5 linked regions of the Oryza sativa Japonica Group genome follow. The main gene of each other region encodes a partner of the protein of the gene in region 2 in a complex. Links are inferred from orthologs where the notes say so. Each region holds a gene or a part of one and is shown on either strand. Other genes may lie near its edges. The genes, in order: large ribosomal subunit protein uL4c; large ribosomal subunit protein uL13c; 50S ribosomal protein L24, chloroplastic; large ribosomal subunit protein uL15c; large ribosomal subunit protein uL10c.

Region 1 (6,363 bases), on a different chromosome or scaffold from region 2:
GTAAAACTTGTCCTCCTAAGTACTTCATATAGTCAATATGCAAGTGCTAATGATTCAGACTTTGTTTGGGGCATGGTTGATTGACTCCGTTTGGCTGCAGATTCAGGACCTTTACAAAGAAGCTGGATTTTTGGGCTTCTGGAAAGGTGTAGTTCCAGCTCTTATTATGGTAAGTCTTATGTCGCATTTTCTTTTGCTAAGTTATTTCTTTTTTACAAGTTATTGTTTCCATGTTTCATCTGTCATCAGGTTAGCAACCCTGCAATCCAATTCATGTTGTACGAGACTCTTTTGAAGAAGTTGAAAAAGAGACGTGCCTCTAATTTGAAGGGAGCTGATGGACTGACTGCTCTTGAAGTAAGCTTTTGGCTTTTGGCTTTTCTGGTGACTGGGATCATTGTACAGATTTATTAGGATATAACCAATTTGCATCATGCTAACTTGCTGCATTGGGGCCTGAATCTACCCGTAACGCTGACTTGAAAGTTTGTTCTTCTAGTAACGATGTTTCATGTCCAGTAATTATATGTTGCATGTCTTAACTTCATTTACCATGATGATTTGCTGAAAACACTAGTATTTCTTATATGCTCCTAATACTACTATTTCTTTGTTAGTTAGCTATGTTATAGACCGTCTTCATCTCACGCTGTAAAATCCTTGTTCAGATTTTCCTTCTTGGTGCTGTTGCCAAACTGGGTGCGACTGTTGTTACATATCCTCTTCTAGTTGTGAAGGTGATTATTTGAACACCAGTTACAGCAGCAGCCGTTTCTGTGCACAATTGAGCAGACATGTCAAGTTAAACCATGTTTTTTTTTTCTACAGGCAAGACTTCAGGTGAAGCAAATAATTGATGATGACAAGAGGCACCGCTACAAAGGTACATCGCTGGCCTTTATTCTTTAAACTTCATTTTATTATTTAGAGTGAATTATTATTTAATGAGTGATGTTGCTCCATATCCTGTTTCTGATAGTCTTTACTTCTCTTCTGGTAATAATATTTGCTGTTCTCTGACTTTGTTACCAAATACGCTATGCAAATTTTATTGCTTGCAGGCACATTTGATGCGATCACAAAGATGATACGTTATGAAGGTTTGTCAGGGCTTTATAAAGGAATGAGCACAAAAATCGTACAAAGTGTTTTTGCTTCTGCTCTCCTTTTTATGATTAAGGAGGAACTGGTGAAGGGCGCTCGATTATTGGTAACCGGCAACACCAGCCTTGTTAAGAAGTTACCATCGAAGCCATTAAGATGATCTAGGTTGTACAAGAGTTAGTTCCCTACTTATACCACAATTGTTTCCATAAAGCGATGGACAGAGTTGCCAAGCGCCCCTGTTAGGAGATATCAAGTTATCTGTGAGACTCTGATCGACTGTAGGCTCTCCAAAAAAAGGAGATTAAAGATGTAGTACAATTACCACTGTGATTCTTGTAGGAACCAATAATGATGGTATATATTGGGTAGGCTATCTCTGTTGCTCGTGTAAAGTATACTGTTATGGAAGATTGAAACACTAGAAAATAAGTTGGCAATGAGAATCGCAAGCGCTAGTCATCTGTTCAGATTACTTGAGTTTCTTTAGCTTGTTTGTTAGAGCTAACCGAGAAGAGGATCGCAATCGTGAAAACTTCGCAAGTGTTCAGAACAAAAGTAGAAGTAGAAAATTTGGAGTTCCTGTCCATTTTTAGCATAACTGTGTCTATGGTGCGCCCCATCTGTCAATGTGGTTCTCAGGCAACTGTTCTGATACACAAGTGCTAATGAGCAATCTGACCCGACAAAAAGGAAATGAAATTTAATTTGATTATTTCAAACTCATTTTGGTGAAACTAAGCCTCCTTCTTTACTAAGATGCAAATTCTTCCTAACACATTTTTTAAACTGCTAAATGGTATGTTTCATATGAATTTTTTACATAAAAATATTTTAAAATATCAAATAAATCAATTTCAAGTTTAAAATAATCAAAACTTAATTAAACATAAGCTAATGGGCCGTTTTCATTTTGCTTTCCTATTTTATTTCATCTTTATTAGAAAAAAAACACCATCTAATAGACTAATACTGCCTCGAGGGTTTTTCTTTAACAATATCTAAGTTTTTTTAATGAAGAGATGCTTCTTCTAAAATCCAAACACATAGTAGTGTGTGTATCTTACTGGTCTGGCGCGACCGACTAAGCTGACACTCGCGAGAGTGTGGCCGGTCCGGTCGGGTGGGGGTGGATAAGGAGATAGAGAAGCGGCCGCTCCGCAGCTGCAGCGGCAAAGCCTCCCCGTCGTCCAGCCCACGCAGCGCACCGCAGCGAGCGAAGCCGCCGCAATGGCCGCCTCCTCCGTGGCCTCGACTCTCCTCCTCTCGCTCTCCTCTTCCTCCTCGCCCTTCCTCTCCCCCACCTCGGTCTCCTTCCTCCCATCCGCCGCCGCCGCCGCCTCCTCCTCCCCGCGCGTCGCCGTCGCCGCCGGCAAGCAGAAGGCGGCTATCTCCGTCCTCCGCGCCCTTCGCGCCGAGGCGGCCACCCTCCCGGTTCTCTCCTTCACCGGGGAGAAGGTCGGGGAGGTCGCCCTCGACCTCAAGTCGGCGCCGCCCTCCACCGCGCGCGCCGTCGTGCACCGCGCCATCATCACCGACCGCCAGAACAAGCGCCGCGGCACGGCCTCCACGCTCACCCGCGGCGAGGTCAGGGGAGGCGGCAGGAAGCCCTACCAGCAGAAGAAGACGGGGAAGGCGCGGCGCGGGTCGATGCGCACGCCGCTCCGCCCCGGCGGCGGCGTCATATTCGGGCCCAAGCCCCGCGACTGGTCCATCAAGATCAACCGCAAGGAGAAGCGCCTCGCCATCTCCACCGCGCTCGCCAGTGCCGCCGTGGCCGACGATGCATTCGTCGTGGAGGAGTTCGACGAGGAGTTCGCCGCGGGTCCCAAGACCAGGGACTTCGTGGCCGCGCTTCAGCGGTGGGGGCTCGACCCCAAGGAGAAGGCCATGTTCTTCGCCACGGATTTTGCAGACAATGTGCGGCTCAGCGGAAGGAACATTGGCTCCCTCAAGATGCTAACCCCCAGGACTCTCAACCTATACGACATCCTCGATGCCCGCAAGCTCTTCTTCACCCCGGCCGCCATTAACTATCTCAACTCCAGGTATGGTGCCACCGTTTTTGATGAATATGAGGATGATACCAATGGCGAGGATGATGGTGAGGAGGAAGCAGAGGAGTTGCAAGAAGGAGAAGGGAGCGCAGAGGAGGCTGCTCAAGGTACATAGCTATGCATGAACAATTTCCAGGTGTCTTTTTATTGTTTCTATGGTGGGCATGTGCGAAATGACTTTGAGTAACTAATGCTATCCAGTGATCCTTTATTTTACATGTTTTAGTTGATAGTTAGGAGAGAAAATGCTCTGCTTTAATGGCATGTACAGTAGTTTTTTTTTTTATCTTTTAACTCTTAGCTATGCTCTGTTGTAAATATCATGATCGATGCTATACGTATGCTGATAAAGATCCTGACATGCGTTTTAAGGGTAAAAACAAGATAACGTGGCAAAGAAACAGAAAATGTAGCCAGTTTTGTCTTATGAATACCATCTTAATTATTATGGAGAAATTCTTTGTGGCCTTGTAGACTTATGGAGCTAATTTTTTTTTCGAAATAGTTCTCTTATCCTTACCAGCATGCAAAAGGAAAAATGCTTACCATGCTAATGTACATCGTATGGTTTTTTTTCCTCCTGAAAGATCCAATAAGTCCATGACATAATTCAATGGTCTATTTTAGAAGCATGCTTAGAGATCCACCTACCCCTATGCTAGCTCTCAGTAGACCCACTGAGTCTGTATTTTACTCGTTATTTTGCACCTCCTTAGGGTTTTTATTCAGAGCTCATGAGCAACTCAACAATTTGCGAATAGAAAATGACTTCACCTAATGGTGGTTAAATTTTCGGCTGAAGGTGGATTAAGTCCTAAGCACTAAACTAAAAAATAAGAAGAAATGAGACTGCATGGAATCCATGAACACCACTGAACCAGAACTCTGGGGATACTGGTACACTCCTTATAATAGTGTCACAATCTGCTGTGCCACACAGCTACCCCTATCACCTATCACTTGAAACATTGTCAGCCATTGGCACTGTCATCATTCACTTCAAAGATGTTCTGTTAGACCTTAGAACCATCTTAATAAAGTAGTTAGCTGTGAATATGCTGGTTTAAGTTGCTTTAGAGGTAAAACCTAGTTAAACACATGTTTTCTCCATCACTCAAGCACTTCCTTTTCGTAAATACTATGCATAGCTACAGGACTAAGTTATTATTAATTGACATTCAGTTCTCTGTTACATTTTGGTGCTGCATATTATAACTTTCTCTTATTTTGAGCATTTCTCAGGAACTTCTTTTTGTATGACTTTCAGATGAGGCTGCAGAGACTGAGGCTGATAGCAATTCCTAGGGAAGGAGGTGTAGATCGCGTGTTTTTCGTTTGTTGGTCTGGTAATTGCTTCCCTGATGCAGAAGCTTTTTGGCTTACTTTTGTTGTAAGTTTATAATGTTTTTTTTTCACTGATGCAGTATATTAGATCTTCAAACTGCACATATATTTTCAAATACAATGTCGTGTCAACCACTGCATATTTTTCTTCCAATTTTATACAGAAAGTGCTTCCCAATCTTGCTTCAAAAAACCAGTGTTGACCTGCTGGTTACCACTAATTTTCTACTCCCTCCGTTTCATATTATAAATCATTTTGACTTTTTTTTCCTAGTCAAACTTATTTAATTTTGACCAAAATGATAGAAAAAATAATAACATTTTTAACACAAAACAAACATGTTATCAAAAATATATTCAAAGTTACATTTAATAAAACTAGTTTGGTATTATAAATGTTACCATTTTTTTTCTATATACTTAGTCAAACGTACAGAAGTTTGACTCCGAAAAAAGTCAAAACGACTTATAATATAAAATGGAGAGAGTAACATCTTGAGTAGGGGTATGATTACAAAATCTTGTCTCCTTAAATTGTTGAATTGTTCCTTGTTATGACTAACTTTTTCGCTGGGTGAGCTCTAACAAGTAACAACTAACAAGTCTTTTCAGAGGACTTGCTGCATTTTACAATGTGGAAAGTAGCCTAGCTCAACTTGGACATGGAGCACTGGAGCAGCATAGCCCGGGTTAGATGCTGATCTTGAAACTCTAAGCCCAGATCAGTCGTAAACAACAGACCATTTTGCTCAGGTTTACTTGTAGATCACCTGAGGGTTTAGTGAACCAACCCTCTGCTTATGCCTAACCATAATGATTCCATCATTTTTCTTTCTTACCTGGGTCATGCAAGAAGAGTTGTTGGGCCATCCTTAAGTCCACCCAGACAACTTTGGACCAGATCATCACCTTTCTAATTGTTCTGACATTGCACTACAAGTGGATTATGGGCTTATGGGCAAAGCTGCGTCTGTACTTTAGAAAGGTGCAAGATCTGGTCTTTTGCTATGTCTAGTATTTTATGTCATTTTTAGCTGGTGCTATCGGTAGAATTTACTTATAGTTTGCTCTGTCTTACTCTGCTTTCAACAATATCTAAAGAAATCATTTGTGAGATTGTGACTGACATAATAGTGCTGTATCTATGAACCGAAAAGGGAAGAGTCTTGCTTAGGTTGAGCCAGCTTCTTTGGCACTATCTTTTAAACTTTTTGGTGGGCAAAAAGCTATCCATATTATACTAGCCCACTATGCATAAAAGGCATACAAATTATGGGGATGGACCTGAGCACATAATTTCACTCTCTTTTTTTTTTCTTGAGACTGGCCATTGATTGGTTCTAGTTTGGAATATTGGATCGATTGACTATAACTGTTTCCGTCCCTACATGTTAGGTCTGCATTATGCTCCTTGGAAGGAATCATTAGAAAGAAAACTTACCACTACACTAAATGTCACTCACCGTATTAAGTTCTGTGCAAATATGCAGCAGAATTCTATTGTGCCACTGGCTGCTGTTGTGCAACTGAATTTACTGGGTGGGATTCTTAAACTAAAAATATACCAGATCATCTCAGAGTCTCCGGAAGTAACAGGAAAAACGGTTGATTCATCCTTCAGGCTACTGTTAGGACACGAAAACACCAGTGGAAGAAATAAGTTAGCATGATGGTATAAATCTTAGACATTATCGTCGTTGTCGGTTGCTTTTCGGCGTGTTGGTCTGATCTCCTTCGGAGCTCTTTTATCATCCGTGTCGTAAAGTTTGCACACGTCGCTGTCGATTAGTCCATCCACAGCTTTGTGGCCAATGGGCCAAGTTACTTTGCTCCGATTCATAGTGCTTTGTGGTTGTTT
Region 2 (6,223 bases):
CTTGGGGAGCAGATCCCGGCAGAACTCGGGCTGGTTGGCGACGACGAAGCTGGTGCCGGCGGGCGTCCACCCCACCACCGCGTCCGTCGACGGGTCGTCCACCATCTCGTACGTCTTGCTCAGGAACGGCGGCAGCGACCCGCCCCCGCCGCCCCCCTCCATCACCACCACCACCACCACCTCCTCCTCCTCCTCCTACGGCGGCGGGATCAGTCTCAGCGCCGGTGATCGGAGGGCTAGGGTTGCCGTCAGGGTGGGGGCCCCCCCGGCGAAGGCGGCTTGCTCGCTTGGTTGGGGGTTTGGTTGGTTTGGTTGGTTGCGAGGAAAAATCCCTCTCGGATTGGCGGAATTTTCCAGAAGGCGTTTTAAGACGAGGCGGGCGGAGGATGGTACTGGAGGGTAACTGGCGGGAGGGGGAGGGATGACGGATGATGAGTTCTTCAGTTGTTCAGGTGGGGTCGCGGAGGACGAGCGACCGGACGCGACGGCGTCCGGTGCGCCGTGCGGGGTTCGGTTGGGGTGATTGGGTGGGGTTAGGTAAGCAGTGACGCGCTCTCGAATGAATCTCGCTGAATTTTATAGGCGACGACCCGGCCACTCCGGGATCTACTCATCTCACTGCCATGCCGCCTCTGTTCAATTGAACTTCAATCTATGTTCTCGCAATTACTTTCTTCCTTGAAAAAACTACCTGTTTAGATTCCACCTTAAAATTTTTTATTCTGTAACATCAAACGTTTGAACACCTACATGAAGTATTAAATATAGGCTAAAATAACTAATTTTACATATTGCGACTAATTTACGAGATGGATCTTTTAAGCCTAATTGCTCCATAATTTAGCAATATTGTGCTACAGTAAACATTTGTTATTGATGGATTAATTAGACTTAATAAATTTATCTCACGATTTACTGACGGATTCTGTAATTAGTTTTTTTTATTAGTAACCGAACACCCTATGCGACACTCTATATAATATCCGATGTGATACGTCGAAACTTTACACCTCTGGATCTAAACAACCCCGTAGATGAAAATTTGATACCACCTAATATAAATCTGGATAACCTCCTAATCATTATTTTTAGGTGGTATCAGATCTTCATCTAAATTGGCTTTTTTTTTACAGAATGAGTACATGGTACAATAGGTGTTACTTGAGCACACGATTGGTACTGTCAACTTTTTCGTTATATGGAAGATAAACACGGACGTGCAATTAATTAACAGATCTACATCAACTATTAAGAGAATTTAGAAACACCTGATGCCCATTGAAAAAAGAGAACACTTTTGCCCCCAAACAATGACACATCAAGCTCATCTCAGGTCAAAATTGCACTACTCAATTGGATATGGAAATATCGGATTGCTTAAAATCGTACGGTATTAGGTACATGATATGTAATCAACAAGAACTATGACTTAGAAACACAAACTTTTGGAGGAAGTAAATTACAAAAAATTTTACACTCCATTCCCCAAACAGACAGATGCATCACATTCCAAAGATTGGACAAAATCTCGAGGGGAGGAATTTACGTGAGATTGTTGTGTCTTTCTTAGTCTCCACAGGAATTATCTACTTCTCAGACTTCTGTATTCTTTTATCCTTGATAGGCAGTGGAACAGGTTTTTGAGCCTCATGGGGATGTTCTGCTCCCTTGTACACCTTGAGGTGGGTAAACAGTCTTCTTCCCAGCTGCAAAATGTTCAAAATGTTGAGAAGGCTACATAGAGCACGTACAACCGCTGTAGTTGGTCGGATTACATGTGTCAGTGTCACTAACATATGAGAACTTGAGAGGTTGACATAGTAAACGTTTTTTTTTTTTATAAATGAACTTAGGCATAAGTAAAAGGCTTTAGGCAATCATAAGATGTCTTACAGGCAACATAGGAGTTTTGGGAGAATACATCTAGTACTTCGTTAGCCCACGCCGTTTCGGCATTCAATTAGAGCGAATATTTCCATGAACAGGGTATATAAAGTTGGGGAATTATACACAATAATGAAGTATAATGGAACAGAACGAGGATACCCATTTTCAGATATGTATTAGAAATTGACCAAAAATAAGGATAAGAGCATATGTATACCCAGGTAGGCTGACTTAAGGTCAAAAAGACTTGATGAAACTGACTAGATAAGAGCTCTAAGAGATGATGTCTTACTCTGCCCTTAGGAAGCATGCCACGCACTGCATGTTCAATAATTCTCTCCGGAATCCTTTTCTGAAGCTGATCAAAAGTTTCTTCTTTCATTCCACCAGGCCGTCCAGAGTGCCTCCTGTAGAGCTTCTGTGACCGCTTTTTGCCAGAAACAGCAACCTTCTCTGCATTAACCTATGTGAACATAGAGTTCAGCATGGTAGTTCAGGAACTTACAATAGTATATGCGTAGCAATTACTCTTCAGAGATGCATTAGTATTAAAAGCACACAGTAACATAAATATATATACATGAAATCAGCTTCAAAATGCCTTCAGGTGGACCTCAGCTTCCAGATACCTTTTGGTGCTTATTTGTATGTGCTGCTAAACCTCTTTTCCTTTTGTGGGACTACAGAGGATCTTATTGTGTGCACTATTTAACTTTATAAATTAATTTCAAGAAACATACATACCACAACAACAAAAGCCCCCATGTCCACACTTGGAGTGTATGTGGCCTCATTCTTTCCTCTGATGTGTACTGCAATGGTGGATGCAAGCCTACCTAGAATCTTGTCTGTTGCATCAACAACATACCATGTCTTCTCAGTAGTTACATGATCTGCAGCCTTAGGGTACCATGTTGTGTTCCATATGTCCTGCAAATTAAATTCCTTGGTCCGATCACTACACAGAACAGGTTGCACAGAAAAGAGAGAAAGAACACAAGAATGGTATCCGTACTGAATTCTAACTTCACAAACCTAAACATCCACAGATAAAAAGATATGGTAGTCATGTAGGTGCGAACACTGTTGAGTAATACAACACAATGTTAGCGACCAATTCAGAAAGACCAACGTTCCCTCCATGTTATTTTCAGTTCATTTTATGGAATCCTCTTTCGTAATAAATTACAACTAGATAACTTTAAATAAAATAAGATGGTGGTCTATACGGTATAGTAACATGTAAAAACATTGTGTATTTTCCCTAACATTATTCATGTAAAGAAAGGATTTGACCCAATAGAGCAAGATGAAGTGACTTACGGATTTAGAAATGAATGGGACTAATCTTGAGCTTTCCTAAATAAGCGGCAATCCTAAATCACGGTAAAATTTCCCTTTATCCAAGGAATGTAGCATTACTATTCATTTTCTGAACTGAGAAAGAGAAGAATGTATACGGGAGAGAGAAAGAGAGGTGAGGGTTAGTACGGGGCCGCAGAGCTCGTCGCCTTCGAACATGAATCGCTGCTCGCGGGGGACGAGCGCGGAGAGCGGCTGCCTCTTCTGCTTCTCGCTCTGCTCGCACCGCACCGACAGGCCCCCCGCGGCGGCGCGGCGGGTCGCGGGCCTCGCCGCGCGCCGCTGGCGGGGGAGCGGCCTGTCCCTGGCGAAGGCGGAGGAGAGGAACGCGGAGGCTGCGATGGCCGTAGCCATTGCGACGGCGGCGCGGTGAGGAGGACGCGGCTGCGGCGAAGTCTTGTCCGTCTGGCTTGGCCTGGTTCAGTGGAACGCCACTGCCATTTCGTTTCGGGGAGGCGAGGTGGAGAGAGCAGAGCGGATAAGAAGGGGATAGGGGGGGAGAGGGAGCCAGAAGGGGAAGAGGAAGAGATGGGCCTTTTGCTTAGCTGGGCTTTGCAGCCCACAGATGCATCAAAGCTAGAGAAACGCGTAGAAATTCCGATATGTTAAATGGGATAATTGCTTATTTAACCCTATTTTAAAGGCCAACTACTAAATTGATCTTATTTTTTTAGGTTTGTTTATTTGACCCTGTTATTTGAAATTGAAGTTTCCATTTGACCTGTTTTGCTTTCACCGGTAGAACATCACTTAGAAAAAAGAAAAAAAAAATACTACCCTAAAGTGACCAAAATACCCCCGTGTTACAAATTAACCCTAGGATTCCCATTCCATTCCCCAGCTCTTCGTCCCAATCCCCACCTCGCCGGTGACGGGGAGAGCTGCCGCCGACCGGGCTGGAGGGAGAGGCGGCGGCGGCGTTGGCGGCGCATCGAGGGAGCGGTGGCGGCGGCCGCGCGAGGAGGGAGAGGGAGCGGCGGCGGCGGCGGCGGCGTTGGCCGCGCGTAGAGGGAGCGGTAGCGGCGGCCGCGCGAGGAGGGAGAGGGAGCGGCGGCGGTGGCGGCGTTGGCCGCGCGTAGAGGGAGAGGGAGTGGCGGCCGCGCGAGGAAGGAGAGGGAGCGGCGGCGGCGTTGGCCGCGCGAGGAGGGAGAGGGAGTGGCGGCCGCGCGAGGAAGGAGAGGGAGCGGCGAGCGGCGGCGGCGGCCGCGCGAGGAGGGAAGGAGTAGCGGCGTCGGCGCGCAGGAGGAGGGAGCGGCGGCGGCGGCGGCTGCCGTGCTCGAAGCGGAGAGATTGAGCGGCGGCGGGGCTGCTGCCGCACGGAGGGTGGAGGAGGGGCAGCAGCGCCGGCTGTTGCCGCGCGGAGGGGCGGCGCCGCCGGCTGCCGTCGTGCGTCGTGTGGAACGAGAGACGGAGGATAACTTGTGGTTGGATTTGTTGATGGATTTGGATACGAATTTATTGTTGGATTTGGATCTGATTTGCTGTTGGACAATATGCTTTGCTGTTGGACAATATGCTGTCAAATTTGTGTAAAATTCTGTTAAATTGAAGACAAATCTGTCTCAGATCTGTAAAAGCCATGAAAATCATTGCAAATATTTAAAAAGTCCCGATGAAGAAAAAACTTTGATATAATATGGTAAATGAGCAGGGGCAAAACGGACAATTTCCCTCTTAGTTAACACCGTTATCTACCCTTCACAAAATAGGGTCATCTCTGATCTTCAATTTTAAAAAGCATGGTCAAATGAGCAAACCTAGAAAAGTAAGGTCAAATTGATAGTTAGACATCAAAATAGGGTCAAATGAGTAATTGCCCCATGTTAAATTGTCCACACACACAAGCAAGTCAGCACTACAGGTGATATAGGATCATATACCCAAAATTAGGCTATGTTTCTGGCGACAAATAAAGATAACTGAAAAGGTAAGATCATTGGAGAATTGGTGTCCATGTTTTCCTACGGTGCAAAGGACAGAAGATGATATCATTTTCATTGATAAGATTGCAGCACCGGGTGCATCACAAATTCATATGTTACACATTCGTATATAGCAAATATAAAGGGTCAATATTGTTCCTTTGCACCAAATGAAAGAGAACTTTACAGGTACCATCAAGGTAGGATAGTTTGCCTCTTAACGTGTATCTATCTGGTGAATGGTGCAAGTCCTTGTACATAGAGACCGTGACGATTTTTGAGGAATAATGAATGAATAATTTACAACAAAACTGTGGACCGAAGGGTGTGGCAGATCAGAACAATATAAATCAACGGTTAGTTGATTGTCAGCAGATAAACCAGAAAAAGGCTTCACATGGCAGATGACTCTGAATTGGTCTGAGTAAGAAGAGGTTTTACTTTTCTTGTGTGACCCAAACTGTTCACAAGATCCCTCCGAGTGCATACAGTAAACATGTTGATTCCTGGCATGTTTAGGCGCCACAAGACGTACGGAAAACTGAGTTGGTCTCGAGATGTGAAGCGAACAACTTCATTGAACCAGGCACACATGAAGTGGTTCGTCACTGGGGCCAGCTCCCTCACAATGACTGAAGCTTCAGATAAAGCTGAAAAATATAACAGATATATTGATCATATCAACCATGCTTAACACATTAGCTATGGAAATTACAGAACTGGTTCCGTATATGCAATATGCAAAGTAGGCAACACTTCATTCCATTCTTTACAATCAAGCACTAACCTTTTAACCCATGTAATCTTTTTTCATCTGGCATCCCATCTTTACGATACTGAGTTAATTGAACTTCTACTTCTTCTGGAGTAGCCTTGTGCTTTTGAACAATAGCTTTACCCTCATCATAGATGTTACTCCGTGCTCCATGTTCAGAAATAGCAAAGGTAGAATTTGTTCTCCAAAGAAGTGCTTCAAGCACACCTATTGGATCCCTTCGGAATTGGTATTTGGAGTCCACCCATATAGAGTATCTTGCCTCTGGGAAAAGGCG
Region 3 (6,400 bases), on a different chromosome or scaffold from region 2:
GGGTTGCATCTTCGTCTCATGGGATCTGGACAGGTGTCAGGTTTCCCTCGCGGAGCAAAACGCAAGCAGAAAACTGTGGTTTGCTTACGATCACCTGGATTTGATATTTGCGTGCCATATCTGCTATGTTGATTCTCAGCCGTCAGCACGAGCTCTTGAGCTTTCATGTTATCAATGGCAAATCAGATTTGTTTTTTCCTTTTTCTGACTATAATCTTTTAGCACTATATATTTGTATTTTTTTTCCTACTATATCAATAGAAACATCGCTATCTTTTAGCACTATATATTTGTATTTTTTTCCTACTATATCAATAGAAACATCGCTGCGGGTTGTTTCAAAAAAAAAATTGCTAAGCTTGTTTCTTTTATGATACTCCTATCTTACTACTCCTTAAAAAAAAGAACTTATCAATCATTCATGGGTTTTATATGTACATCTCATCTATATTTCTATATGGAAATGGACCAAATTAGTCAATGGTTGCGAATAATAGCTCAGGACAGGGGACAGCAACAACATTACAAAATCATTTGTATGAGCGAATGTAGCTGAACCATTCTAGTAGCTGGTTAACAAGCCAAGCATGTCATTGGATACAAAAAAATGTTGGCAACTGTATAGAAATTTACAAGACTCTGAAATCTGAATCTAGAAAAGCATCAACTCATTTGGGCATACAAAAAGTGCAGTTCAGAAAATGTGCAGGACTCCCATGCTACCATGATCACTCCGAACTTCCTTCCTTGAACACCTTGACCCAATTCTCAGCACTGTCAATTATTTCACCAGTCTTGACCAGGTACCGAACCTTCGTTCCATCCTCAAGGAATTTGTGTCCAACCCTACTCGCCACATTCTTTTCCTTTGAGTAGAGCATCACATTTGAGCTGTGAATGGGGCCTTCAATCTGATCAAAGAAAACACCAACAACCATAGGTTAACGATCAGGCATCTGAAACTATATATACGACACTAGCTAGAAGCAGCACAGAAAGAAGTTTCAAGAGAAACAATGCTGACCATGACGATTTCACCCGGTTCATCTTCTGTTCCTTTCTTGTGCTTGGACTTCAAGTTCAAGTCCTTCACTATTACAGTGCTGTTGTGCTTAAAAAGCCGCGTAACTTCTCCAACTTTACCTTTCTCACGGCCTGCAATGACTTGTACTGTATCGCCAATCCTAACATGCATCTTGTGCAGGACAGGAAGACTGTTTGGTTTACACTTCTTCCTCTCCCATCGCTTAAGCTGCATTGGAAAAAGGGAAATTTCAGACATTTGAGTAAATAGCAAGCTGCAGACCAAAAAAGAATTGAAACTTACCCTCATTTGAATTGGGCATGTCTTGATCATAAATTTAACCTGCATATAAAAATTTATGCATATCTTGTCAGAGTTTCTTATGAAAATGACATAAAATGTAATAATCAGCTGCTTTTGAGATATGACATGAATCATGCTCACGATGTTTCTTAGGCAAGAATATCTAGGATAATCATATGATCTTTTAGTACGAGTTTCTTCATATAAGTGCAGATTTTAGTACAGTTCATCATATAAGTGCCATATATAGCTCAGTCACTCCATTCAAGAGCAATTATTCGGCCTTATTTTCTCTCATCACCACTTTCCAGGTAAGTAATTAGTCGTGAGTGAGTCTCATTCTGAGGACGAAGTGCAGTAGACTATCTAGAAGAGCTAAGGAACGCCAAAAAGAATATACAAAAGATAGAACAAGTTCAGTCTGATAAGTATACCGAGTGTGCCAATCATTTGCTACAGGCTATCCCCGAGTGAAATGAGTTTCCATCATTTTCCCATGGAAGTCTTCTGTGAAATTTCTACTGTTGAGTAATTTAAAGTTCAAAGGCAAAATTGTTTCTAGCCAGCGAAATGTGATCTATACAGCAGGTTAGAACAAGAAATGGTCTGTCTCACTAGAGGGCACATCTTTCAGAAAAATAATCCTCTGCTTGAAAGGCTGAATATTGGGTATCCATCGCTTATACCACCATAGGAAAAAAATAATATTCAAGTTTAAACTGAAACATAACAGGCCACATCCCATGGTAGACAACACAATTTCTAACTTCTGAATTCACTCAGTTGATATACTCAAACTTGAGATTTCAAGCATTCATTAATTCATATAAACCCTCCTTATACTAGCCAACTAGGTTCAACTATACCACAAAATCCTTGAGACCTTTTCTCTAAAAAAAATATACCACAAAATTTTGACACAACGTTGGTTGTTGGCTAGTTGAGGTCCTGAGCCTGAACTCCTGAAGGCAACAACAGTACAGTGAGGCGATGTAGACATCACCATTGCAATGCCACGCTGTTGGTGAGCTCTAAAATCCTAAATCTCAGTGCAAGCTGGCATTTCTACTTTTCCAGCGAATCATAAGAGCAGAGCAAACATAAAGGAATGCGAAAAATGAGAATCAGGGTTGGGAGTCGGCACAAACCCCAGCCGGCGCGGCGGCGAAGGTGGAGAGCGGGTGGCCCCAGAAGCTGCTGGTGCTCGCCGCCCCCGGCGCAGAGATGGAGAGGGACGCCATCGCGCCCTGCAACGCCGCCACCCCGGCCATCTTCGTCTCCTCCCCTCCTCTTCCTCCCTCGCTCGCTCAAACCGCAGAGAAGCAGCAGAGGATAACGAACGCCTTCGTGTGCTCGCGGACAGGATAATGGCGAGCGCTTTTCTACATGACAAATGGGCCTCTAGGCCGAATGGATTGGCCCACTTGTAAGACTCATAAAGGCCTAATGAAAGGCCTATCGTAATCCAGCCCAACTACAACGGACCTTACGGCCCAAGTCAGCCGCGATCCCGTTCAGGCTCAAATATAGCGGGCCTCACGTAAGCCGCAATCCCGTCTCGACCCAACAAGAACAGGTCGCACCTACACAGATAAAATCTATTGTACATTTCTCATCTCTGCTCCTGATTGAATTACCTCCCTCAACCGCAAAATGGAGGAAAATCGGTCTTATTGTTTGGTTATGCTTATATTTATGAGCCAAAATTTGAATTTGAGAACTTAGTTTTGAATTTGCTTTTTTGTTTTTTTAAAATGCTTATATTTTACAACATTTGCTTTAAGTTATTATGGACATATATAAACATTTTACTCATAAATAAATTTTTATTTGCTAATAAACGATTCGAATAAGCGAAAACCGTAGCAGATCAACCCTTAGATGGTTTGTAGGGTGGTTCCTGTTGACGTGGCAGGCTGACTCGCAGAGAACATGAGGGAGGCAAAATAGACTTACTATCACGCACGTCAGCAATCCGGTTAAGGCCCAAATGTCGTGGGCCGCTCGTCGTCCGCAATCCCGTTTGTGGTCAAGTAACGTGGGCCGAACGTCCTGGGTTGATATGGGCCGACACCCGTTTTCGGATAAGGCCCAGCCCAGCATACGCTCGTCGTCTTCCTCGTTGCGTTGCGTGGCTTCGTCTCCACACGCATCATCACCACGCCACGCGCCGCGAGATGCTGCTTCGGCGGGGGCGCCCAGGCGTGGCGCCTCCCGGATTCCGGCGGCTTCGACGTCGCCGGCGACGCGCGCAAGCCAAGCGACAGTTGCGGAGGCAAGCAACCCCCCAAGTTCCGTCCCTTTTGCGCTTTTCTGGGACCCATTTCCTCTCTCTTTTGGGGGGCGCTTTCGCGGTGACGACGCTGCCGATGCGCGTACGCCTGAGGAGTTCTTCCCCATCACGCCGCGTGGGGGATCGGGACGTCGCCATTTCCGCTGCCGTTTTCTTCTCTTTGGGGGGTTGCAATCTCGCGTTTCATTTGATAGGGTTGGGCGTGGGCGGTGGGGAATGGGGATGGGTAGGTAGATGGCACCGATGTGAATCGGACGACTTCGAATCGAAGCCTTCCGATCCATGTGAGGAGGTTGAGGAACCAACCTAATTTCGAATCGAAGAACTCTTGGTTTCTCTACCTAAAACCAAATAGCATAGTGACAGTGGTCGTTATACTATGAATTCCAAGCTTTTTGACCGAAGATTTCGAATCATCGAGCATCTTTGGCCAAGCTATTCTAACACGGTTGACTCAGAAGTCTACGTTTCTATGCATTGTGTATTTGAGTGTTAGTTACTATATTTCGTGATAAACAAAACTGTTGACTCAAAAGTCTACGTTTATATGCATTGTGTATTTGTGTGTTACTGTATTTAGTGATAAACCTTAGGTGTACATGTGAGGGATTTCATGGATAACACGTGCACTACATTCTTGCCTGTTCCACTGGTCACCATCAGCAAATCGCTCCTGTCCCTTTCGTGTGGCTATCACTGGAGCTATTCAATTCTTGAAAGGCTCTGCCGTGCAAGCAAACCGTTTTCTTTCCAATGGGATAAGTGTGTGACTGTGCTATAATCTCAGGATAAATTCATCACTAAATCGTTGCTATCAGTTTTGGTTTATCCACTCATTAAATCAATGCAACAAATGTGGTGATCAATAATTAGTAGTACTTGTTTGTTGGTATGCCGTGCTGCCAAACTAGTTGGATAACAAAGATTCCTATTATATTGGGGTTAACCACTGTATTTTCCTAATCATAATTTTTTAGGCTCCTTATTGTCATTATCACTTAGCATCATTGCATAAGAGAAAAAAAAGGGGGGTCAATACTGCAGGATGGTATTTTAGGAAGGAAATGTGTTATCGTGATATTAACACAGCCTTTCTTCCATGTTGCTTGCACTCCTCTCAAACTGGTGTAGCTTCCTAAAGACTGGCTCAGTTACACAATTTTTATTCTTAAATGCTGGAATCCTGGGAAATCCTTAATGCGCCTGGAATTGTTGCACTCAAGTAAAGCTTTAGTTTGCTACACCCGTGACACTTTCAGAGTTGGACATGTCAAAGTTTCCTTCCCTTTTTGATAAAATGTCCAGTGTGATAGAGATATTGCAACCTGTCACCTCCACAAGAGCTACTTAGCAGAGACGCGCGTTGGATTCCAAGACAAGTGATGATCAGCCTTCAGTTGCTTCCCACACCCCACCAACTCAACAAGGTTTATATATATCTTACAATCCTGTCTGCTACTTATCTATAGACTGTGGACATTAGTAGTTAGTGCTACCTACTGAAGGGAAGGCCATGAGTCTCTTAACACTTGTTCATATCCTTGTCAGCTTTTCTGCCTGTGTTGAAGCTATAAGCAGAGCAGACTTCCCTCCCGGTTTTATCTTTGGCACAGCTTCTTCAGCTTACCAGGTCTAGTGTTACCAAAAGATCTCTAATTTCACTTGAGTTCTTTTAGATGGATGTCTGATGGATATTTCTGGTCAATATATTACCAGTATGAAGGTGCCGTGAATGAGGGCCAACGTGGACCTACCATATGGGATACTCTCACGAAAAGACCAGGTTCAGTAATGGGGATTTATTTGTAGAAGTACTCTAATCTGAGGTGCAAACTATGACTGCAATATGAGCAATGTAATCTTTCTTCAGGTCGGGTGATTGATTTCAGCAATGCAGATGTTGCTGTTGATCACTACCATCGCTACAAGGTGAGTTATCCATAATTCATGAATTCCTGTACCTCCTTTATGTTATTTACTTCATTTGTTCCTGATATGTAATCTGGGACATGAAGTTTACCTTTTGGCTAATTATGTTGGGATTAAAAATGTGAACTTTGCCTTGACCAATTACGTTGTTCTTTTAAATTTGAATTATAGTTTTACGGATGATCTGATGGAACCTGAATTGATTATTTTTCAAAGAAATCTGAACTGGTCATTTAACCAGGAATGTGCAAATCCAGGCATCCTGGAAGTTAGGTCAAATGTTTGCCAACCTTTGCTTCAACAATTTCTAGTAATTTATGAAAACTAATTGCTTGCGCACTTTTGTATCTCCAAGCATCAATGTCTGACGTATTATATTGTTAGGAAATTATCCCAGTGCAAGTTTTGTCTGGGCCATTTACAGTTTAAATGTGTAGAGACTGTAGGCATGCTAAACTGCTAATTTACGAATTACTAGTATACTAATTGTGCAAATCCACTTCTCTAGCATGCTGCTTCCAAAACTAAGATAACAGGAAGACCATTTCTGATGTTTTTCCAAATACAAGATGCCATTTTGGAGCATCAAGAAGGCTTTCTGGATAGAGCATGTCTTATTTGTTCAGTCGATTCTATTTCTTTGATTGAGCTTGTAATGAAATAAGGACATCAACTAAATGGATAAACTGGCAGGAAGATGTGGAGTTAATGAATGACATCGGCATGGATGCATACCGCTTCTCTATCTCATGGTCACGGATCTTTCCAAGTATGAATTATGTAAATTATGTGCAAAATCTATCTTTTTTTTTTTGTTATTGTTCACTAATACCACCATGCATCTTGCCAGA
Region 4 (6,289 bases), on a different chromosome or scaffold from region 2:
TATGAACATGGACAATGCTAAAAAGTCTTATAATATGAAATATTATAAAACGGAGGTAGTATTAAATTGCTGATATGAACATGCAATGCAAGCACAACTAGTCAAGATCTTGGTACGCAGTTCATAGCAAATCTGCACTGCACACTGAAATGAAGGGTAAATTTTCTTCTATGCCACTGGAAATTTACCCAAACCCTTATTTGCCAGTCATTCTCCCGATGCTGCGTGGACCTAGGGCCCGAATGAGGGCGATGATTTGCGTGTTAATCTAAAATACAAATAAATTTTATCATCAAAAGGCCATAAATAATTGTTTTTGATCAAATGGGAAACATCTCAACAAATTAACACCTTCACAGTCAAAGATGGAATAGAATTTACCTAAATAGTCAAGACTTCTTTTCCTAAAGAAATGTCGAAAAACAACAGGAAAATAACAAGTATGAGGTATAATTGAGATTATGTAAACGATTGAAACAAGAAGCAAATCAAACAAAAGAAGCATCAACGTCCACAGGGAGCAAGAGGGTGCAAGAATGAATCAAAGAGAGAGGAAAAAGAATTTCAAGCTGCAGTAAAAGGTGAGTTATGTCACCCTTTGAACTAACTCCTAAAGAAACAAGCAGCAGTAAGTGGCGATTTAAATCCCTGAATAAAAAATGAGAGAACATGAACATGAAGTTCAAAATGATGATATAACTGTAGTCAGTTTGAGCCTTTGAGGAGGGATGTGCTGTCCTTATTGTATTAAGTCAAACAAGAAACTACTTGTAATTTATGTGACAGTAGATATAGCAGTGTCCTTATATAACTTCTTCAAACAAGCAATATTCATGGATGAGTTCTGTTGAAATTTGTGTTCAAAATCAATTGTTAAGCACACATAGAATGACTTGCAACCCTATATAACATTTGCCCATTCTTGTCACTAGATGAACAGTGCAGCAATTAAGTGTGCATGCCCCCATGTGTGTCCAGCTGTCCACTTTCCCAGGAAATCACGAAATGTATACATGGACAATTAAGAAGCCCACAAGTTCACATTATCACATATGGGCATCAATTAAGACACTGAAATGATAACTACCTTCTTTTGAAAAAGGCAGGATCAAATAAGCGAAACAGAGTTTAGCTCCTAGATGAACCATCATTGTTTTTGTTTAGAAAGACTGTCACCAAACTATAACACAACATGGACAACAATACTATAGGCAACTTGAAGTATAAGTGCAAGATCACAAGAGGGTGAGGGTGTGTGTTGGGGGGTATGCATACTGACATTTGACATACATCACATTTAAAAGAGAGAAAATTCCTTCCATACCCCTGAAATTTTAGCCGATCCCTTCTATGCCCATGAATTTCCTTCACTCCCTTGTATACCTCTGAATTTTGATTTGGATCTCTTCCATACCCTTGCCGTTAATTGACCGTTTAATAGGTATATAAAAGTCAGTTTTACCCTTCAATATGTGAGGAATATGTAGAAATTTGTAAACTATATTGTTGGAAGTATAAAATTTGTTGTGTGATTATCATATTCATAAGTTTTATGTACATAAAAAATTTAATATATATTTAAAAAGTACATGTAGCATTTTTTTAAATGATAAACATAGTTTTGGAAAGCATTCCTATATAATATATACAACAGGAGAAAATATGTTGAACTACCATAAACAAATGCTACATATACTCTTTTAGTAGGTAAATAAATATTAGTTTTTATGTCATTAGGTAAAAATAAACTTTGCCATGAATAATACCTTGTACAATAAAGTCATGAATATGATAGTCTTATATAACAAAATTATACACTTCCAACAATATAGCTAGTCTACAATTTTTAGATTTCCTTCATGTCTAAGGGCAAAAAGGTCCTTTTCATTAGAATTAAACATTCAACTAACGGTATGGGTATGAAAGGGATCAAAACCAAAATTCAGGGGCATACAAAGGAGTGGACAAAACTCGGAGGCGTAGAAGGGATTGGCTAAACTTTCAGGGGTATAGAAGGAATTTTCTCCATTTAAACAGGAAACACACAAAAAAAAATGCTTGCATATCGCACGGATTCAAAATTCGTTGAACGTGGAACTTTTGGAACAAGGTAAGAGAAATAAGTATATGTTAAAGAAAAGGGTAAAGGAGAAGTACAGTGTATATGAATTCTATGCAGATGCTTCATCAGATTCACCAGCACCACCATTTTTCTTGCTAAAGTATTCTTCTGCACGAGCTTGGTTCTTCAGATAAGATTGTGGTAGCCATTTCTTCCGCTTTGGTACCAGACTTAAAGTACAACCAGCTGCCTCGAGCTTCTCCTTGGCTGAAGCAGAGAATGCCCCAGCCTTGATATTCAACTTGACTGATACATCACCATCTCCTAAAATCTACAGATAGGTTTTCAAAAGTTAGCATACTAATACTACCCGCATGATAAAAGATACAATAACAACAGCAACATTGCAGTATCATTGTACTCAAACAAAGATGAAAGGAACGCCATCTGCTGAACATCAGAATCAGATGTCAAGAAGGAAAAAGCCTATCATAAGGATAAAGTTGATAGCTCCCCACATTATGACTTAGGTCTTGATACCTGTTTTAGCCCTGTGGGTTTTACCTTATATGTACCACATAGCTAGGAGCCTAGAGTATAGAAAAAATCAATCAAATGAAATAGGACCAGAAAGAACAATAAAAGTTGAACAATTATGCTATTCAAGGTGCATTAAGTTCCACCCTTGGAGAAGTCTTTGTCACATCAGTGATCAAGCGCCACACCACTACCCACTATAAGGGGCAACCCAGTAGCACACTAATGCATCTACTCCAGCAATCCGCCAACTAAGAGTGGAGACAAACAGTAAATATTTTGGGTATGTTGGGAGTGATGCAGACATGCAGTGGTACATGTAAGAGCACATGGTTTTGTTGGGATCTTGATACCACTTCATGTTTATGCCTGACAGATATGCTCATATGCAGGCCTACACCATGTGTGGGTTCATCATAACTCATACGTTCTAGATCCTTGAGTAGCCAATAGAAACACTCGTCAAATCATACCGTGTTTGTCCAACACGAGCTAAGAAAATTGATCCCGACACACAACTTTGAGACTTCGAATACTCAACTTGGTAATTGCTGCTAAGGACAGACCAACACAGCAACATTTGAGAACTACAAGAAAAAAAAAGGCCAGCCATTCAATCCACAACATCAACAACTAAAGGATTACCCAAGACTGCTGGTGAACTTGATGAATTCACTGGCAAAGATCAAATGCAAGGCATTCATATTTCAGTTTTCAGTAAAACATGGTCATCTACAGAACCGACTTAAAAAAAAGAAGGATAATCGTCGTATAGTGTACCTTCAGAGGAAGCTTTCTCTCCCTGCCAGACGGATTAATCAAACCCCTCGATTTCAAGGATTCCAATGATATCTCGTCACCATCCTTGAACCCGCCACGCGCCAAGTCTCTCAAATTGAACGGCACATACTTCGGCAAGCCAATATGCATTCCTGCAATCGCAAGGTAGAACTTGCAACGGGTCACTTCTCAATCCCAGCATTTCTGCATTCCAAATGGAAGGTGCTAGCGTGTTCCCACTCAATTTCCAGTGCATTTGAATGTGTGAGGCTTCGATTGAGGGCGAGGAGGGGAAGCGGGAAGCTCGAAGAGACTCACCTCCAGCAATGCCGCGCAGCTTGGGGATGCGGCGGTAGAGCGGCATCTGCCCTCCCTCGAACCCGCGCCGGACGCCTGGCCCCGAGCGCGACTTCTGTCCACGCATGCCGAACCCGCAGCTCGCGCCCTGCCCCGCCGCGATACCGCGCCCCTTCCGCTTCGGCCGCCGCCGCGACCCCTTCTGCGGGCCCAGGTTGTCGAGCCGGAACTTCTCCGCGGGCTCCGCCTCCGCGGCCTCGGCCGCCGCGGCGCTGCACACGACCGTGACGCAGCGGCGCGGGCGGGCGCGGAGGACGACGGACCGGCGGCCGGAGATGGGGCCTGGAGCGGCGACGAAGGAGGTGGAGAGCGAAGTGGAGGCCGGGAGGTGGAGCAATGTGGCCGCGGGAGCGAGGGAGAGGAGGGTGATGGACGCCATGGCGGTGGAGCGGAGAGCGCGCCTGAGCGGCTTGCTGGTGTGGGTGGATAGAAGGGGATAATTGGGGAAGGACACGAGGGAGATAAGACGGTTGGATAAATGGGCCATGAATCCAATTAACCCTTGGGAATTTGGGCCTCTTTTCCCTCTATTTTGTGAATGGTTTCGTATTACTCACTTTGCTTCTTGTTTATTAAAGGATTTTAGAAGGTTTACAAAAGTTTATGAATAGAATAGAACTGAATTTATCTTCTTAAGAAATGAACATATTTGGATTGATCTTCCACACACAATCAACCAAAGAGAAAACCTGATCTTTGCTGTTCTTCAAGAGACTAGTACGGAGAGAAACTGATGGGTCACACAACCTGACAGAGTTAAGTATACTGAACTGATCTATGCTAAGAAAAGAAAAGGTGAAATGAGAAAGGAAGAAACGAAGACATGTACAAGACACATGCTTCACAGGATCGTCCCGTTGCATGTCTAGCAGTAGACAGGTGCAAGGAATTAAAAGTAAGTGTTACAACTGTAGTCTGGATAATTGTACGTCCAGGCCTCAGCTGAAAGAAACTAATGGAACTCTGGCCATCAACCATCTGAAATGTCAACAACGATACCTCTAGTTGGTGAGTTCAATGGTGACGATGCAGCTTGGCCAGCTTGATCCTCTGCTGCTACATGACTACTTACAGGATGATCTGGCAATGAACTTACATCAACTCGATTAGCTTGCACATTTTCAGATTTGTCATTGTCCCCCTGGCTTAGGGGGTAAGAGCCAGCACTGCTAGAATTTCTGCCATTTTCTACAAAAGATGTAGAACTAGCACCTTCACTGCCACTATTGGATTCCCTAGCAAGAACAAGTTTCAGTAACTTCTGCCGCTTTCTTCTTTCGGTTCTTTTATTTATCAAAGGCACCTCATCTTCATCTGACTCATCCACAGAATAGTAATTCAACCATTCAATGATTACAGAGTAGGAACCATCCCACTTGCTTATTTTTCTTTTCTTCTGTCTGCTGCACTCTTGATTCTTCTTTAGTGAGGTTGTTCTTGGACGCTTCGGTGCTTCCTGAACAGTTGTGGCGGTTAGACGGTCCAAACCAATATCCTTTGACAATTTGATTTTCTTATTAGCTGTGTCTCTTGAAGAGGACTCCATTCCAGAAATACCAATAGAGTCATCAGGAGGAAACCCAGCAGAGGTTTCTTCCAGTTCATGCTTATTGCCTTTTCCACCCTTAATTGATGCATGCGCATTGTGCCAACTTCCAGGGGCTGATTCTTCAACTTTGCAATCAGGTGCTTCTACAGATAAAGCTACCAACAAAAATTAGCAGTATCATCAATTTGTATGAGTAGGCATACTAAGAGTTTAAAATGTATATCTGCAGTAAAGAGTCATCTCAAGGCATTTCAACAAAATAGACTGTTTTATGGTCTTAAAATGTTATCATAACTGGAACCTCCTTTTTAAGCCAAATGTTACCTTTTGAACCCTCTACACAACCTGATGATGATCCTTGAACTCTGTGATAGCTACCAGTGCACCGCTTCTTGTGCCTATATATATATTAATACAGAAAGCCAAATCATGACTCCATCCATGAACTCAATGACACTAAATTTAGAGTAAGTTGCATCCCAGGACCCCAAGGAGGAGAAAGAGCATGATAGTTGTTCAGGTATTACTAATCTTGTTTGGCTGCTGGACATGTCGATTTCACCTCCAATAAAGAAAAATTTATGTCAGATCATTTACCACTTTTTAGATTATGCAATTGCCAAAGTGACAGGACAACACAAAGAAAATGTTAGATATTGAAGCAGACACCCATCATTACCTTCTTAGTTTAACATCTCTCTTTGTCAAATTTAACAATAATAATAGTTGATTTATTTGTTCATCACAAACTGAGGTTTACATCCTACCTCCCACATTGCAAGGATACACTAACAAGGCAGAGAGTAATAAATTACACATTTTGGAAATTACACAGTTAGCTTTAAAATGTACATCTAGCTTATATTTCTATGAATATTTATGTGCACTCTTAGGCTGTGTTCAGTAATGGAGGATGGGAACCTATCCCCTCCGCACGGAAAACGGAGCGGTTCATTAGCGCATGATTAATTAAGTATTAGCTAATCTTTTTTTAAAAAATGGAT
Region 5 (5,033 bases), on a different chromosome or scaffold from region 2:
GGACTGGCGTATTTAGGGGAAAGGATAATGATCCACAGTATCCTGCTGATTTGGTATGTTATGTCTTATTAGTGATTTACCGTATAAATGTTAACTGTCAAGCCATCTGATACATGACAACACGTCTGTCAAGAACATGGATGTATAAAGTGATTATAGTATCAGATTAGATCTGAAAAACCATAGGAATTTGCTCATCTTACTCTGGAACTCAATTCTTTTGCAGTTTTACCTTACTTTTACCTACTTTGGCACAATCTATAGGAGATTAGGAGTGGTTACTTTAGTTCTCAAGGGGGTTGGGTATCGTATATCTTTTTTGTTCGAGTGATGCACTGATGCTTGATTATTATCTTGCTAGCCCTATCAAATCACAATTTTTTTCTTCATTAAACATGATGTTCGTACCAATCCATACATTGTTCTCATGCTTGCAAAGAAATAATTGTTTTGTTAATCTAATACATGCGCTTTTGTGGGTGTTTTGTGGGTCTTGAACTGTAGTCCCGGCACATCCTTGTTACCGATTGGCTGTCATCTACCAAAAGCTTCTTCTGCTGTCTGCCGATGCAGTTTTAAACTGCTTGCAGTTTTATTAATCAGAAACATTGACAATCCATTGTTGTGGCCTCATGCCATTATGTTTATTAGTCTGCATGCTGTTTTATTTACACTTGCTATGTCATGCAGGTTGTTGATACTGTTGAGGATGCCATTAACTGTATTTTGGAAAAGGAATGTATACAGTGACAGAGTGACACTTGTTCTGAGTATCCATGCTCCCTTCATTGTTATTTGGCATGCATTTTGTGCCACACCATTGTTTTGTCTAGCAATTCTGGAGCAATTGTTAGCCGGAGTTCCATCTCTGATTCATTCCACTTGTTTAAGTTGGGACATCAGAAAATATGCTGATGCGCTATAGTATTTTTTTTTTCCTGGCTGAGAGATAGGCCGGACATTATATATGTAGAATCGTCAGGGTTTCAGGGCAGCAGAGCTGCAGCAGAGCTAAAAGTGAATTTCACCCTGTACCAGACGTTCTTGTTTCCCTGCATCTTATTTCTTGGATTTCAGTACTACCAATGACATTATTATATGAACTATACACTTCCATTATCAAAACCATCATTTCATGTTAGGGATGGCTTGAAGTGCACACGAGTTATGGAGAGAATGGTAAGCATCGGATGTTTGGTTTTCTGTGAAATTGCGTTGAGCATGCTGAGTCCGGAACAACTCCGTGTTTACAGCATCAGAGCAGCTGCTGTTGCTTGATCGTCGCAGTTTATATCCTTTCCACCTGACATCCTTGCAATGTTTATATCCATTTTGATCGTCGTACAAGAGATTCGCATGGTTTTCTTACCTGTAAAAAAAAGTTTGAATTATATATATATATATATATATATATATATATATATATATATATATATATATATATATATATATATATATATATATATATATATATATATATATAGTGATGCATCTACAAATCGGGCGCTCGATTTTTTACAAAAATCAGGCATTGTTTCACTAAATAGATCGAAAATGTTTCAATATTTTTAAAAAAGCTGAAACACAACCAAATCACATCGTGAAATATTTTGTTACAACATATGAAACAACAGTTTCCAAAAAAAAATCAGGCATTGTTTCATCCTATATAAAAACAATATTTCAGCAAATAGCAAAGGATGTTTCAAATCATTGCAACATTTGATCATACATAGTGAAACATCACGAGTACACTTGCTAAAACATTGTTGGTGGAAAAAAAAATGAAACGGATTCCTTTAATAAAGTATTTCCTTAATGTGCGGGTGATTTGTTATAACGACGCGTGTGGTGGGGCACGTGGGGGGGGGGACAACGCATAAGGGGTGGGAGCGTGCGGGAGGCGGCGAGCGCCCGATTTTTCTACCGCTGATCGGGCGCCTAATCGCTGTCATTTTCTTATATAGTGATATCTATTGTGTTGAATAATTCAGTACACTGATGTATGTTATGTTTTATTGTACATATCAAGAGTTTTTGAACTCAAGAAAACAATAGTGATGTATGCTGTGTTGAACAAGGCAGTGAAGATTGGAGTTGTTGGTACACGACTTCACTCACTATGGTTTAAATTGACGTCTATGAATACCACACATACGCGTTTGCTCTATGCCTCTATTTTTTTTTATTTGGAACTCTTAATCTTATTTTCAACCGCTCATGGATCAAGATCGAACGGCTATAAATCCTCAAGCAAAGGTCAATCTCCACGGAAGCTTCTTTCTGTGCAGCTGACCGAGCTGAGTTCACCATCTTCTCAGGCACTGACGATACGGTCCCACATAATCCAGTGAGCCCCCCGCCTCATCTTCCCCACAGATAAGCTCTCCCACTCCACTCTTTCTCCCAACCCGCCATAGCTCCCGGCCTCCGAAGATGGAGACCTCCTCCTTCCTCCGCACCACCCTCCCCACCGCGAAGCCCCTCCCGGCGTTCCAGACCCTCGCACCCCGCCCCCGCCCCCGCCCGCTCCGCCGCTCCACCATCAGCGCGGCCATCACCCGAGGCCGCAAGGAGGACACGGTGGCCGCCGTCCGCGAGCAGCTGGAGGGCTGCTACCTCCTCGCCGGGATCCGCTACGAGGGCCTCACGGTGAAGCAGCTGCAGGGCATCCGCGACACCCTCCCGGAGACCTGCCGGCTGCTGGTGGCGAAGAACACGCTGGTGGGGAAGGCCATCGAGGGCACGCCGTGGGAGGCGCTCAAGCCGTGCATGAAGGGGATGAACGCGTGGCTGTTCGTCCACACCGAGGAGGTCCCCGCCGCGCTCAAGCCCTACCGCGCCTTCCAGAAGGAGGAGCGCCTCGAGGAGACCAACGACTTCGTCGGCGCGGTGTTCGAGGGCAAGTTCTACGCCCCCGGGGACTTCAAGGCGCTCGAGACAATGCCCAGCCGCGCCGAGGTGTACGCCAAGCTGCTCGGCTCGCTGCAGGGGCCCGCGACCTCCGTCGTCACCACGCTGCAGGCGCCGGCCAGGGACGTCGTCTCCGTGCTCTCGGCGTACGTGCGCAAGCTCGAGCAGGAGGTCGGCGCCGCCTGATGGCTGTTGAGAGATGGTTTTGTGGCTTCGTTTCTCTCATCTCACTCATTTCTTGTAGAATTCCTGTACTTTTACTGCCTCACGTTTGAATTGAATCACAAAAGTTTTACCTCTTACAACGCATGCCTACTGGTCTGATTTCATAAGATTACCGAGTTCTGATGTTATTAGGATTACGTTGCGTACTTAGAGGGAATGCTTGTTCCACAACTAGTGTTTTGATAATTTAATTTTACCTGTAGAGACTACAGAGATCAAAGTTTAGTAGGTTGAGGGGCAATGGCAATGCACAATTAGAATGGTCAATAACTACTAGTGCTTGTGTAGTTGTACCATCAATCAGTGTATCCAGGTTTACAACAAAGTTGTTCAAAGCAGTATGATGAGATGTTTTAAAATCATGAACTTAACTGTGCTCTTTTTGTTAAGAGCAAACCTCCTTGAAGTGAACAAAATTAAATGATTAATTCATCTTTTAGTAACAGAATAACACTAATTAGAGTTGGAAATTCTTCTGAATTAGCTTCTGAAACTTACTGTTGGTCACCAGCTCACCACATACCTAATTTGTATCATTTCTGTCTGAACGCGCAGTGGATCAAGAATAGAATTGGCAAAATTGATGATCACATGGTCACTTATTTGTTTGATACTGATTTCTTCTGACAGTCATGGTATTGTCCTAGGTTATTGTACTTGAGTGATAGTTGTAGTTTTGCAGGAGTGACTACCAGGCATGTCAATATGCCAATATCATTCGCCCAATGGATAAGGATGTGAGAGGCTCTTGAGAATATAGAGGAAAGCTTGTTAGGACCAAGTTGCAGTCTTACGGATGTGAAATTGCTTTGGTATGGGAAACCATTTCTTTGGTCCATTCCTGAAGATCGTGTTGTTTGGTTATAAAAGATACATAAAAGATACATATGTCTCTAGCAACATATTGTGATTTGGCTGCTTAGGATCTATTGCAAGCTAAAGTGGAATACGTGCACTGCCACCAAGCGGTTGTGAAATAAAGTATCATCTGGATAAGTGCTTTCCTCAATCTCTGAATTCTTCAATGGAACTCAGCAACATGATCTTGTTTGTCTTTAAGCTTTTACATTAATTTGAAATTTGTTTGCAATGGCATGCTTAGACACAATTTGAAATCATAGTTATTCCATGATGTATAATAACAAACCTTCTTGTACAGTAAATTTAGTCCTGATTGATGTGTAAAAGTAAATACACTGCTACAGCCTCATTATATAACTGGAGGGGATTTCCATGGTGCAAATGTGCATTTGCTTGAGGTCTAAAAAAATGGTGCAATTCTTTTGACATCTAACTAACATCAGAGTTGTATTCAACACATCATTGCATCTCAGTGACACTGATGAATATTTTCTTTACTTTGTGGGTCCAAACATATTAATGCCTTGCATGCACTACTTTATTCCTGCAGTGCTGTATCTCCAAACAGATAAACCTAAACAAGTTTTCCCTTCATGAGCGAACTGTTGCTGTGTTGGTCCTTTTGAATTTGGTGATGCATTTTACGTTCCTTAATTAGGTCTAAATTTACTTTATGTGAATATTACTATTATATGTAAGATAATGTAAGCCTGATTCTGTTCTTGTGTTGATAAAGCTGGGCACCACCATGTGAGCGCCTGATTGGCTTCGAAAGCTCACACCTGTTTTTTCACCTAACTTCGATGCGGGGTTTACCACTTGACTGATGAAGGAATGTTAGCAAGTTGCCAAACACTCTTGAAAAGGAGCAGATTCTTGCACAGCTGCTTTGTGTGATGGCACCGGCGACCTAGCATGAGCACATGACACTTCCTGGTCCAGGTTCTTCCTACTCGTTGGTGTTTCACGAACTCAATAGTCCTACTTTTTTTCCCTTTTCTTAAACGTGTTCGATATCTCTGCTCCTTCAATAT

Evidence for each region.
Region 1: large ribosomal subunit protein uL13c (region 2) and large ribosomal subunit protein uL4c share a complex: the UniProt entries of both Arabidopsis thaliana proteins name them as parts of the 50S ribosomal subunit. The link is inferred for Oryza sativa Japonica Group from reciprocal best matches to the Arabidopsis thaliana genes emb1473 and RPL4.
Region 3: large ribosomal subunit protein uL13c (region 2) and 50S ribosomal protein L24, chloroplastic share a complex: the UniProt entries of both Arabidopsis thaliana proteins name them as parts of the 50S ribosomal subunit. The link is inferred for Oryza sativa Japonica Group from reciprocal best matches to the Arabidopsis thaliana genes emb1473 and RPL24.
Region 4: large ribosomal subunit protein uL13c (region 2) and large ribosomal subunit protein uL15c share a complex: the UniProt entries of both Arabidopsis thaliana proteins name them as parts of the 50S ribosomal subunit. The link is inferred for Oryza sativa Japonica Group from reciprocal best matches to the Arabidopsis thaliana genes emb1473 and RPL15.
Region 5: large ribosomal subunit protein uL13c (region 2) and large ribosomal subunit protein uL10c share a complex: the UniProt entries of both Arabidopsis thaliana proteins name them as parts of the 50S ribosomal subunit. The link is inferred for Oryza sativa Japonica Group from reciprocal best matches to the Arabidopsis thaliana genes emb1473 and EMB3136.

Annotation. Positions count from the first base shown.
Region 1 is NC_089037.1:8,801,531-8,807,893, forward strand, and holds large ribosomal subunit protein uL4c, read left to right. Parts: upstream 1-2,266; 5' UTR 2,267-2,334; coding exon 2,335-3,268; intron 3,269-4,428; coding exon 4,429-4,466; 3' UTR 4,467-4,683; downstream 4,684-6,363. Other genes in the region: peroxisomal nicotinamide adenine dinucleotide carrier, read left to right, coding at 101-169, 250-357, 669-737, 829-883, 1,062-1,264. UniProt on the Arabidopsis thaliana protein: This protein binds directly and specifically to 23S rRNA. May play a role in plastid transcriptional regulation.
Region 2 is NC_089035.1:31,964,620-31,970,842, reverse strand, and holds large ribosomal subunit protein uL13c, read right to left. Parts: upstream 3,699-6,223; 5' UTR 3,604-3,698; coding exon 3,379-3,603; intron 2,818-3,378; coding exon 2,632-2,817; intron 2,351-2,631; coding exon 2,180-2,350; intron 1,707-2,179; coding exon 1,587-1,706; 3' UTR 1,354-1,586; downstream 1-1,353. Other genes in the region: heat stress transcription factor A-4b, read right to left, coding at 1-162; probable hexosyltransferase MUCI70, read right to left, coding at 5,565-5,821, 5,959-6,223.
Region 3 is NC_089040.1:29,338,655-29,345,054, forward strand, and holds 50S ribosomal protein L24, chloroplastic, read right to left. Parts: upstream 2,679-6,400; 5' UTR 2,599-2,678; coding exon 2,476-2,598; intron 1,367-2,475; coding exon 1,328-1,366; intron 1,253-1,327; coding exon 1,025-1,252; intron 912-1,024; coding exon 729-911; 3' UTR 507-728; downstream 1-506. Other genes in the region: beta-glucosidase 25 isoform 1 precursor, read left to right, coding at 5,134-5,250, 5,337-5,403, 5,491-5,549, 6,243-6,318, 6,400-6,400. UniProt on the Arabidopsis thaliana protein: One of two assembly initiator proteins, it binds directly to the 5'-end of the 23S rRNA, where it nucleates assembly of the 50S subunit. Required for optimal plastid performance in terms of photosynthesis and growth.
Region 4 is NC_089037.1:6,340,851-6,347,139, reverse strand, and holds the start of large ribosomal subunit protein uL15c, read right to left. Parts: upstream 4,175-6,289; 5' UTR 4,116-4,174; coding exon 3,698-4,115; intron 3,532-3,697; coding exon 3,380-3,531; intron 2,394-3,379; coding exon 2,172-2,393; 3' UTR 2,158-2,171; exon of another isoform or gene 2,056-2,157; intron 1,416-2,055; exon of another isoform or gene 1,196-1,415; intron 405-1,195; 3' UTR 382-404; intron 269-381; 3' UTR 1-268. Other genes in the region: uncharacterized protein, read right to left, coding at 4,707-5,440, 5,610-5,683.
Region 5 is NC_089037.1:9,830,568-9,835,600, reverse strand, and holds large ribosomal subunit protein uL10c, read left to right. Parts: upstream 1-2,375; 5' UTR 2,376-2,436; coding exon 2,437-3,099; 3' UTR 3,100-3,222; downstream 3,223-5,033. Other genes in the region: mitochondrial hydrolase YKR070W, read left to right, coding at 1-53, 691-750. UniProt on the Arabidopsis thaliana protein: This protein binds directly to 23S ribosomal RNA.